Linked DNA regions of Drosophila melanogaster. The protein of the gene in region 1 interacts with the protein of each later gene in a pairwise test. Each region holds a gene or a part of one and is shown on either strand. Other genes may lie near its edges.

Region 1 (5,764 bases):
TCGCCAGCAGATGGAGATTTTGCAGAGGGAGGAAAGGCGGCAGATTAACCGGGAGCTCAAGCTAAAGGAGAACCAGTGCCGCCGCATTGAGGCGGAGAGCGAACCCTTGAAGATAGAAGAAAAGGTGTGTGGGCATACTGAAAAGAAGGCGGATGAATCGTTGTCGAAGGATCAGCAGAATGACTCGATAAAGCTGATCGGATCGGAGCCGGTGCATTCCCCGGGGCGGGACAACGACAGCAAGTATGCCGACTACTTTCTCAAATACACCCCCCCGAAGCAGAAGGAAAAAGATCTGGAGCGAGCGAATGAACTCCAGCGGCACGACCGCATATACGAGCTGTTTTGGTTGGATGAGCGCAGGGAGGAGGAAAAGTATCGCCGAAAATTGGAACAGAATGACCAAGAAGAAATCCCAAATGACTGCCACAAGGCGTGCCGCCATCGCCACCACAAACCCAGCTACATTGCTCGCTTCGATCACATGAGGCCCATGGAGGGCGACATTCAAGAGGCGGACTCCTCGCCGGAGAGGAGTCGATCCTTATAACTCTGATTCAATATTAATAATTAAAATTTAGTTTCAAAGCATTATGAATCGGAAAATATGTGGCTTGATTATTATAGCATGACCTTGATTGATTTATTTTATTGTTAAGCTTAGGATAGCCGTACATTTAGACTCGCACAAAAAATATTACTATGTTTTGATGTATATAAGTTGATCTACTAGTATCATCGCTATAGCAAATTGAACACAATAAAGCTCTAGATAGGATTTCTTGTATATAGATCAAAGACACGTAACTTTTAGAAAGTTTTGGAATTATTCCTTTACCCTATTATGCGGAATTTACAACATAGATTAGACATGGACATGAACAATGTGCGGATGGGATAGTTGGTTGCATGGCCGTGTCGACATCCACAACTTGATGGCTCTTCAAGTGCTCCTCACTGCCGTCTGTCATAGATAGACTTTGTAGTTCGTTTAGTTCGATTCTAGAGCTATAGTTAGTGTTACACACATGCAACATCATTTGTAATAGAAAACTGAGAATCGGAATAAGAGCTTTCATTCCTAGATCCTAAGTGTATAATTGGAATTTTATAAATATAATACATACATGCACTTAACTATTAAAATGAAAAGTCGTCCTAGTTGTCCTATAGTGTGGGCGTGTATTTAAATGAATTCAGATTTGATGTTCATCTGCTCCCTACTTCCTGAAATTGGAAGACCCCAACGATTGTTTTGCATTTAGTTATTTTTTTCAAGCCGTACGTTATGGGATGCCATGGTATCAACTTTAAAAGTGCGAACAATTCACGGGACAACAAAATAACAACGAAGTGCGTAATAACTTAATAAGTACAACGTTCTACATGGTTAATGGTTAAAGAAATTCTGTAAAAGTTGGGAGACCGAACTTATCTACGAATTGAAGCTAATTGGATAGATTATAATTATTTTAGCTAACACTAATAATAATGGCATTTAGACAAAAGCTGATCACTGAAATCAAAGCCAGATTGGATAATTTTTGGTTAACAAATTGTAGGTTATAATGAGATGTTCTCGAATATGTGGTATAAAATATATAAACTATGTAAAAAAAAAAATCTGCTTTTTGAACACATTCGAAGCTACATTCGACAGTAAACTTATGGAATAAATGCAGAGTTTAAGGTGATTTTTTGGTAGCTATTTGGAAGTTGTGCCATAGCAGATCCCGCAATACATTTGTGGCTTAGGTTTTCCGCTTCTGGTCGAGCTGCTGCTGCGGCAGCTCCTCCTGCAGCTGAAGGATGTGTTCCAGCGGCTGCGGGCGCCCGTCCTTGTCTATCATCGCCGGCTTTACGATCCCGCCCTGACGCAGCTGTTCGATGAGATTGACCAGCTGCATAGCCTCGTATTCCTTCTGCTCTTCGCTTATGTCGTCCAGATGCGACTTGCTGCGCGGCTCTACGCAGCCAAGGACTGGATTGATGCCCTGCTGCTGCTGCTTGTACTCCTCGGTGTCGCTGTCCTCGCTGTCGGAGGAGTAGTCGGTGCCCTCCACTCGCCGGCAGTCGAGTATACCCCGCTTGGCAAAGAGCCCGGCTGCGTTGCCATAGCCCGTATATTTGATCATCCTGCCGACATTTTCTTTGCACAGTACGAACAGCAGTTCGGCGGACAGATCTCGTAGGATCATCGCGGGCAGTGTAAGGAACCGACACAGATGATTGCGCAGCTCCTGACCAACCTCAGGTCGTTGACTAACGTCCCGCAGCGGCGGCAGAATCTCCTGGCGTAGATAGTGACGCATAACTCGATCGCTGCGCGCACATTTCACCAGCACGGTCAGCACTGGGGAAAGCAACTCATGCGAGCTAGCCTCGGCCTCCTGTTGGGCCAGAGATTGCCTTAGGTAGCGGAGTAGCACGTCCAGACTCCGAACATTGCGCTTTTCGAAGCACTGCGAGCAGCACTCACGGGGTTTGGCTCCCGCTCCAGCTTCTGTATCTTTTTCCTTCTCGTTGTCCTGCTCTCTTTCCTTGTGCGACTCCAACTCGGCATTGGAGCAACGCAGGGTGAGTTCTGTCAGGCAGCTGCCGGAGATGTTTGTCAGCAGATTGATGGCGTGTGTGACGACGGCGCGATCCTTTTCTGTGGCCAAGTCGCCGAAACGCAGGAGTAGCTCCCTCAGCACTCCCGTCAAATGCAAGCTCTGGATTTCGTATTCGTTGGGGCTCTTGTCCGGAGCACTGGTCACGTTGAACATCACCTTGAGCAGTTCGCAGATGATGTTCAGCTGCTCCTCGCCAACTGAGTCTTCGCCCAGCTTGTCGTCCAGCCACTTAGTCATGTAGGTGAGGCCATTCAGATCGATTTGGAGGCGAGAGCGCGCCGCTGGCTCTAATGCAGTGAGCAAGAAGAGGAGCTTCATGTCGTAGTACTCCAACGCACAGGGATGTCGCATCGAGGACGCCACCCTCTTCAGGATTGCATCCAGGCAGTGTTGCCGCAGGCACTGGCGCCTGCAGTCGGAGCTCTGGTAGACCAAGTTGCACAGACACTTAAGTGCTTCGGCAATCACCTCCGATTGGGCCTGGCTGGGCTCCAGCTGGGGCTCCTCGCGTTCCTCCTGTTTAAGCTCGTCCGGCGTGGCTGGCAGCTTTAGTGAGCCGGCCTCAATCCTAGCCAGCTTCAGCAGGGTGTTAACCTCCTGTTCGATGTAGTTCGTCTGCAGGCTGAACTCGTCACGCGTTAGAATCCTCACCGTGTTCAGGCACTGCGTATGCAGATGACTAAGCCGCTGGTCGTCCAATATGCCGAAGATGGCCAGCCACAGTTCGTGCCACAGGTTGTCTGTGCGGAAACTGTCGAAGACCAGCAGATCCGCATTCTACGGCAGAAGGAAGGGTATATAATCTGGTTGAATCTTCGGGAGAAACCGCTGGCAGTGCTCACCTTTGTGTTGAATTCGTCCAGGATGGCGGGAATGTGGTCCGCCTCCTTGGCCTCTAGTCGTTTCAGGTGCTCCGTTTCCATGTCGCCAACGGTGGCCGTTCAAAGCTGTCGTTGAGTTCGCTTTTTAGGTCGTTTAAGTTAATTTAATTAATTTTTATAATTTCCGCCAGTGTGACCGCACCTTTGCCGTTCTAATCTAATATACTACGGGGCGTTGCCAGATATCTCAACCATCGAATGCCAACTATCGGTACGCCCTTACCACTAATATTCTAAAAAAAATCGTATTCCAATCAGAAAGTTAGATAATTTAAATATATTATTTCAAATATTTAAATACAATCAAGAAACTTGAAGTTACCCATTTAAAAGAGCAATCCCCGCTTAACCGACAAAATAGTATTATTTTATATGTTCGGTTTTTCAAATGCAGCGAATAACCGTTTAATTTTCGATTTTATTACAAAAAATACATATCCAGTGTATACATTTCGCAGTGTATGTTTTGTGTAAAAATATATATATGTGTAAATATAAAATAATACGTAATATTTGGATTGTTTTTTTTTTTTTTTGACAAGTTTTCTTGTGTTTTTTCTTTTAGCTTGGCTTAAATGTTTATAGTTTGCTTTGTTTGTTGTCTTGTCTGTCTAGCATTTACATGTTATAGTAGTCGACAAACTCGACACATCTGGGACGCCTATTATAGCAGATTGGATCCAATCTCACTGGCTTCCACTTCTTCTTTTTCTTTAATTTTTAAATGCAATCGAAGGGAAAGGGAAAAGAAAGAAATAAAAACATAATAAACAATTAGAAATAAATGCTCGCTGTACGCACACACACATCTAGTATTTACTAAGAATAATATCGGTACAAAATGACGATGCAAAAGTCGAAATATAATCATTCCATGGGACAAGTATTTACTAACTAAAACTAAGCAATTGCAGTTGTCTTTTTGATTGTTTTCGTTCGTTTTTTTTTTTTTTGATTTTGTTTGTTTTGTTTTTCTAATGGTTTCGCACACTTCACATGCAAAAATGAGCAATTTTGGTTTTTGGAATTTTGGCTTGGCGCAGTCTTGTCAGGATATAAGTATGTGTATACGATTTATGCATATGGAATGTGGGCCCGTCACCGGTGCGAGCGAGATGGCGTGCAGTGTGTGAAGCGTACGACACCATGGGGTGTGAGTGGGATGGAAAATTTTTAGAAACTAGGGTATCGTGTAAAATACGTTGGTTAATTACAGCTAGGGATCGATTTTAGATTGGAACTGGAAGCCTCGCAACATGCACTTCTTAAATCCTATGAGATTTCACTGATTTTTTTATTTTTTTTTTGATTTACTTATTTTTAGATTCAAGCCGAAAAGAGCAGAGTTATGGGGAAAATACTGGGTTGGGGTGTGCGGTGCGGAAAGTGGGTGAGTTCTGGGTGTATGCCATACCACAGGGAATCATGTCAGAACACAGACGAGAGCGAGGCGAGGCGAAGGTGAGCTGCAGTTTCAAACTTGCCGGGTTAGGAAACACGAGCAACAACCACGAGCAGCTCACAGCAACAGTAACAACAACTACTATAGAACGGGTGCAGTGCTCTCTCGCTAAGTGCATCGCTTTCAGACCACGCTACTTATAAAACTACTTTTGATTATTGCCTCCTAAAGTTCCTTAATATCTACAAGTAAATGGAAATGCTTTACATGAACTGGTAAATTTGGGAAAATATCTTTTGTAAACGTGGAATGTTTGGATTTTTAAGATTAATGCAAGAAAGGTATAAAATCTACAGTTTGTGTGCAGCATTAACTGCCGAGCGAAACATCTTGACAAATTTACTAACATTAAATGCAATTTATAAAGCTCTACCCAAATAATGGGTATCTAATAGGAATTTCGCGTATAAATTTGGCTGGGTGCTAAATGCAAATCGTTTCCAAACATCTGGCCCTTCTATCCGAAATAAGCGATGCAATTAACGAGCCTACACTGCAACCGAAAGTGGATTGGGTTTGGACTAAACTGTAGCACTGGGCGGCGGCTGTTGAGCCGCCGGCGGTATGACATTCGGAATCGCCACCACACAGGCGCCGGCCCTTGCGAAAGCCATGGGCGCCAGCTCGTTCCATCCATTGCGCACCGGGTCGTACTCCTCGACGCTCTTCAGCGCATGATTGCCATCGTAGCCGCCGACGACGATCAGGCGATCGCCCAGCAGGGCACAGCCGATCGCGTCCCGGCCCAAAGCCAGTGAGCAGATCTGTGGAATGAGATGACATCGATTAGAAGTGAGGATGAGGTT
Region 2 (5,580 bases), 8.9 Mb from region 1:
CTCAGGGAAAGCAGTCCGATTTTCTTGCCCAAATGAGCTGGAAATATTTCCCAGCCAGGCACTTAATCTTTCATAATTTCCATGGCTGGGCCTTTGCCACAAGTGTTGACATTTGATAATTTTCATTTAGCCGTTTTTCACTTTTGTGGCGGGGGTGCGCATTTTTGATTACCTTTTTGGCGGTTTTTGTGCGTGCCGCGGGCGTTGGAAATTGGACATGAATTAGTAATGAATTTTGCCCGCAGATGCGTCGACTGAGGCAGCGCAGCGGGCAGAGGCAGCGACAGAGGCGTCGACATCGTGTTTATCTAGGCAGCCCAACTATTTATAATAAAAGGCTGCCAGATTAAAAACACCAAAATAGATTCTGTATCTGCAGCTGCATCATCTCTGGCTGTATCTGTATCTGTATCCGAATGTATCTATACAACAAAATAGCAATAAATGCGAAAACAATGAGCAAACGTTCGAACAAACAATTCTTACAGAACCCACCCCCCCCCTTTCGGCACGCCCCTGACCTACACAACCAGAATAAATAAACAGTAATTATAATTGGCCTGTTTCGGTCTCGAATTCGATTCTTTAGGCATCGGCATCGCATTCGAGGCAGCATGAGTGAGTAAGTCGCTGCGGGCGTTGCTGCCGCAATCGACGTCGATGACGCGGTATCGCCCTATCCCCCTCCTCCCGCCCCCCCAAAAAAAAGCGCCCCTCTTAGGTGCGACCATTAAGGCCCCCTCTTTCGTGCACAATTGCGAATTTATTCTTCGCGCGTTCGCTGGCGAACTGCAAATTGAAACGGGAAATGGAAATGCTGCTTCTGCGTCAGTTGATCGTCATAATCAATGATCGGCAGGCAGATACTTCAACCAATCTAATCGGTTCCAAAGAGATCTTAAGAGACCATTTAGTTGATGGAATACATAGAGCAATTGAGAAACCAATCAATGTGTATGTATTGTATGAGCAGCTATAAACTTGTGCTTCATTTCGAAGAACAATGCATTTAATTATAGATTACTTTTCGAATAGCATTCGATGCTGGCAGGAATTTGAACTTAAATACTTTGTTGGCAACTTAACAACTACAGTATATACAGAAGATTTATGGGCATTTAAACGAAAATCAAATGTTTAATTATAATATTGAAAGTGTTGCTTTTTGGCGGCTTTTTGATCCGTTGGCCAGCGTAATATAAAACAAACTATTTAAATTCGAGTGTAGAATAAGATTGGATGATAAGATTGTGCCAAAAATATCTTAAAGATTCTTCTAGTTTTGTTCTCTATTCGAAGCGAATAGAGATGATCCAAGGCAATAAAAAGGCAAACAAATTGATACCGATTCTGTGAAAGGGGGACAATGTTTTCGCTTATTTGACATTTTTTGAAAAATTAAAACAAAAAAATAATGCAATACAGATAAACACATAAGGAGAATATTTAAAGTGGTTTAGCATCTGTAAAGTAATAAAGAGCATTGCCAATTTCTATAAACCTAGTAGTTTATTAGATTTAAGAAATATTTAAATAGTTAAATTCAATTAGTAATTTGACCTTTTGGCCTTTTCCTTGCTGACTTGAGTGTTTTAAGTTCTAAAAATCGAAATGAATGGATTAAAGAGGTTCTATTTGGCGATAGTGTCTGCAGAGTTCGCCTAGGTGTTGTTATATTCAACCGATCTAAACACATGTATATATATATATATACAAATACGAACAGCAGCAGCCCAATAAACGGTTCGTTTGATTTGACTGCCGGCCCGCCTCCGTATCTTTATCTGTATCTTTAGATATAGTATCTGTATCTGTAGCAGGGGCAGGCGTTTTATTGTTTATTTGCCCGCCGCTTTGCCTTTTGTTATTCGCCAGAATTTTTATTATTTACTATATTTAGGCAGAGGCCAAGAGGAAGAGCAACCTGCTGAATAATTAGTCACAGCCCAACCACGACAGGCGGCACCTGCAAGAAATGCAAAGTAAATTCTTCAATTGCTCAATTCCTCAGCCCATCCCTACGCCGACTGCGCTGCTGACGTCGACGCCAACGCCGACGGCGACTGCGACTGAGGCCCAGGCCATTTGTGCGACTGCTGGCATTCGATTGCCATTCGCACAAGTTGCATGTTCGCGACTCGATTTTCTGTTTCGGTTCGGTTTCCTCATTGTTTTTTTTCGGCTTCCTCTATTTATTTTAATTTTTTTCCGAATTTTTGTTTGTTTTTTTGGGTTGCTCGCGTGCGCTGTGCATATTGGAAATCACCACCCGCCCATTTGCCACCCACTTTGGCCAGCAAAAGCAACGCCAAATAACAAATAAAAAAAAAAAAAATTTAAAAAAAAAAAAAACAGCCAGGGAATTCTAATTAAGTGTGCGCGCTAATGCGTTAAACTGCTAGCCAATTTGTTTTAAAGCCAAAGTGAAAAGGCCTTTATAGTCCATTGTTGGCTGCTGTTTGTTGCTGTTTCGCCTTCAATATTTGAGTGGAAATTACATCCATAATTACGCTTAATCAGTCGATTACTGTCATCGCAAACACGAACCAATCCGCAGACCCACCGCCGCGTTTGATGACCACACAAATGAGTGCCAGGTATGTCGTTACTTAGCCCCGGATAAACAATATCACCCCTAACCTCCCAATCCCAATCCCAATCCGAATCCAGCTAACCAGATAATTAGGCAGATTTCCCGCGGTGGTTTTGATGGTCAGGATGGATGGGTGGTATTTTGGGTGGCAGTTTGCGATTGACAATTGGCTTGCAGTTGCATTCGATTTGCGGTCCACGTGCGGTTGCATTTATCTTTGGGCACATACCCTGCGGTTATTACGACAGTTTTAGGTCGATGACTTTGGCATTCCTCGGTTTATCATGGAAAATGCGATTTTAATCATAGTTTCTGGGTTCTGCGATGCGCCGCTATAGCAGCTTGTGGCTATCAATCACATGAAGATCACATTAGGACACCAAGTGATGCATGTACTCGAAAAAGAACTAAGTAAGAACTGATGGCCATCAAAACTTTCTAAGAGCTTATCACACGCTAGATTTTATTGTATGAATATTCAGAGATATAAAATATATGTATAATTGGAATTTGCCAAAGATGCGAAAACTAATTCAATTTAAACGTATCAGCTACAGTAAATAAAGAAGCCAGGAATGAACTGCACTGCTCCTTCGTTTAACAAGGCATCTGAATCTTTTGGTGAGTGGGATTCGTTTCAAGTTGCTGCAGACACAGGCGACACATACGCTTGTAGATGAGGAGCTCGGGTGGGGGAAGTGGTAGCAGTACGTACGAGCCCGTGGGCTCGAAACCCTTACTCCTATATTCCACATAGAGCGACTGCCTCCAGAGTGAAGTTTTTGGGAAATAGCCGATTAGCAGGAAGTCCAAGGACACCCGCCATTCACCAGCTGTCGAGTTTAGGGCCACGGCGAAGATGGCGAACGAGGCGAGCAAGCGGAACACATCGAAGACATCGCCACGCAGGAACAGATTGCGCACTGCGGCCGGACAGCAAAAGATCCAGGAGCCCCATTGACCGCGTCCCAGGGCGATGAAGAGCTCCTCGAAGAGGCTCAGAAAGGATTGCCACAGCTGGCAGTCGATCCAGTGCACCAGCTGGAGCAGTAGCATTATTTCGGACAGCAGCATCAGGATGTGGACGCGGTGACGACACCGGCGCACCCAAAGTGATCGATACTGCATGATGGTCATGAGTGTGCCGCATCCAAAGTAGACTCCCGCCCAGCGTTCATTGTCGCCCACGATGTGCTTAAGCGATGGATCCAGTGGCGATACCATGCCATGGATCAACGGACGCCAGCGATTCCAGCGCACCAACATGCCAATGGCCAGGATTAGCCAGGTCTCGTAGAGATCGCGCAGCATTTCCCACGACATGCTGAGTTCATGATATCGATTCATCTTGGGCTGGAAGGGAATAATTTTGGATACTATGTACTGTGTAAAGGTGGAAAATGTAGAAAATACTGAATATCTACGTGTCGACTACTTTGATTGGCCATCCGGTAGCTTTACTTGTTGGGGATGAGCATAACTACCACCTCATCGCGCAGGTTTATTGATTAGCTTATGTTCTCACCTTAAACAGTTCACGTAAATGAGGCAACAACTGAAGCATCTGTAGTGGCACCTGCAAGTGTTTATGCATCGCTCTCTTTTTGTTTTTCATCTCCTTCTCCCTTGCTCGCATTCCATACTTGTACACACTTTCTAACACACACACACACACACATGTGCCCGAGGCCTAATAGTCGCCACAGTGGACTGGATACTTTAATTTCCCATTCAAAAATATTAACGAAACTTTGCTTACACATATGATTATTTTATTCTATGCAGAAATTTAGTGCTGCATACTTTTAGACACCTTACGAAGTTTTTTAAGTCTTACTCAGTTTTTTATAGCTAATCTTCTTAGAAGTGCCAAGTGGTGAACTAAAGACCCCCCATTGAATTAAATTTCTTTGCATGCACTCAAACGAAGATAAGAAAAATAATTATATCTAGGTATTTTTCTAATTACTGCATTTTCTTGTTTTTTTCCACAAACTGACATTCGCTGCAGGCGCTGCCTCCAAGGTGTCTGGCAACTAGAACTAACCCCATCGTGCCACCACCCCAACTGCCAACTGCCACCTGCCACACACACCCACACACACAACCAATGCCCCCCGTTCTACCCCCTCACCCCCTCTGTCGTCGGGCCGAAGTAAACAGCATTCGAGGGTAGTGTAAACAATCATTGACCTCGTTCATATTTCTTGGAGCGCTCGCTCATTTGCCTTTGGCCCGAGTCCCAGACGTTGACTCTGCCTGGTCGCAATTAAAATTGTTGTTTAGCTAGTTGCCCCCATGGACGACGTCGCCCCCTGGTCACCCCGTCATCCTGGTCCCCATTTACATTCCCATTCGCATTTCGTGGGGAAAACAGAATCATTCGGCAGGCGGCATTTGGGCACCAATTAGCCTTCGAGAAAAGAGGCAAAAATCTGATTCCATTGCGATTTCTCTGCCCCGGCAAATGATGATGAGCACAAGGCACAAAGGCAAGAAGCCAGAAGGAATTAGGAATCAGGAGCTGAAAGCAGCCCAGAGCCCAAAAGAGCCAAATCACGATAGGCTCAATGGCAAAGACACAAGAAAAGTGAAACAATCAGGGATCCGGTTAATCGGAAAAACCGAACTGGGCCATACGCTTTTATGGCATATTCATTTTAATGGGCATGTTGAGTTTGCAGCACTAAAGTTCCGATAACTATTATCCACTAAAAGTGGCAAATTTTATATTCAGCTTTATAGTTTTATAGTTTGGCAAGAGGATTTTGAAAATGCAGTTAAGTCTTATAAGAAATATGAAGTTTAATGTATAGATAACAATAGATGCCAATAGTTGAAAACCCTTTAAAATCTTCTTTATCTCTTTGTCTTTAATACAATATATATTTGTAAGTTAAGATACGTTCAAATATGAGATTCCAGCTTGATCTGCCAGCTGTGTGACTCCTTTTGGCTAAAGAGCATTAAACTTTGTCCAACGATGG

Evidence for each region.
Region 2: the proteins of ric8a (region 1) and Frq2 interact in a two-hybrid assay, tested with the Drosophila melanogaster proteins (one study listed by BioGRID).

Annotation. Positions count from the first base shown.
Region 1 is NC_004354.4:9,254,071-9,259,834, reverse strand, and holds ric8a (ric8a), read right to left. Parts: upstream 3,668-5,764; 5' UTR 3,539-3,667; coding exon 3,458-3,538; intron 3,393-3,457; coding exon 1,752-3,392; 3' UTR 633-1,751; downstream 1-632. Other genes in the region: CG17754 (uncharacterized protein), read right to left, coding at 4,115-4,207, 5,486-5,722. UniProt on the Drosophila melanogaster protein: Chaperone that specifically binds and folds some, but not all, nascent G alpha proteins prior to G protein heterotrimer formation, promoting their stability and activity.
Region 2 is NC_004354.4:18,175,495-18,181,074, forward strand, and holds the start of Frq2 (frequenin 2), read left to right. Parts: upstream 1-2,117; 5' UTR 2,118-2,597; intron 2,598-3,031; exon of another isoform or gene 3,032-3,190; coding exon of another isoform or gene 3,191-3,940; exon of another isoform or gene 3,941-3,978; intron 3,979-5,580. Other genes in the region: andorra, read right to left, coding at 3,191-3,940.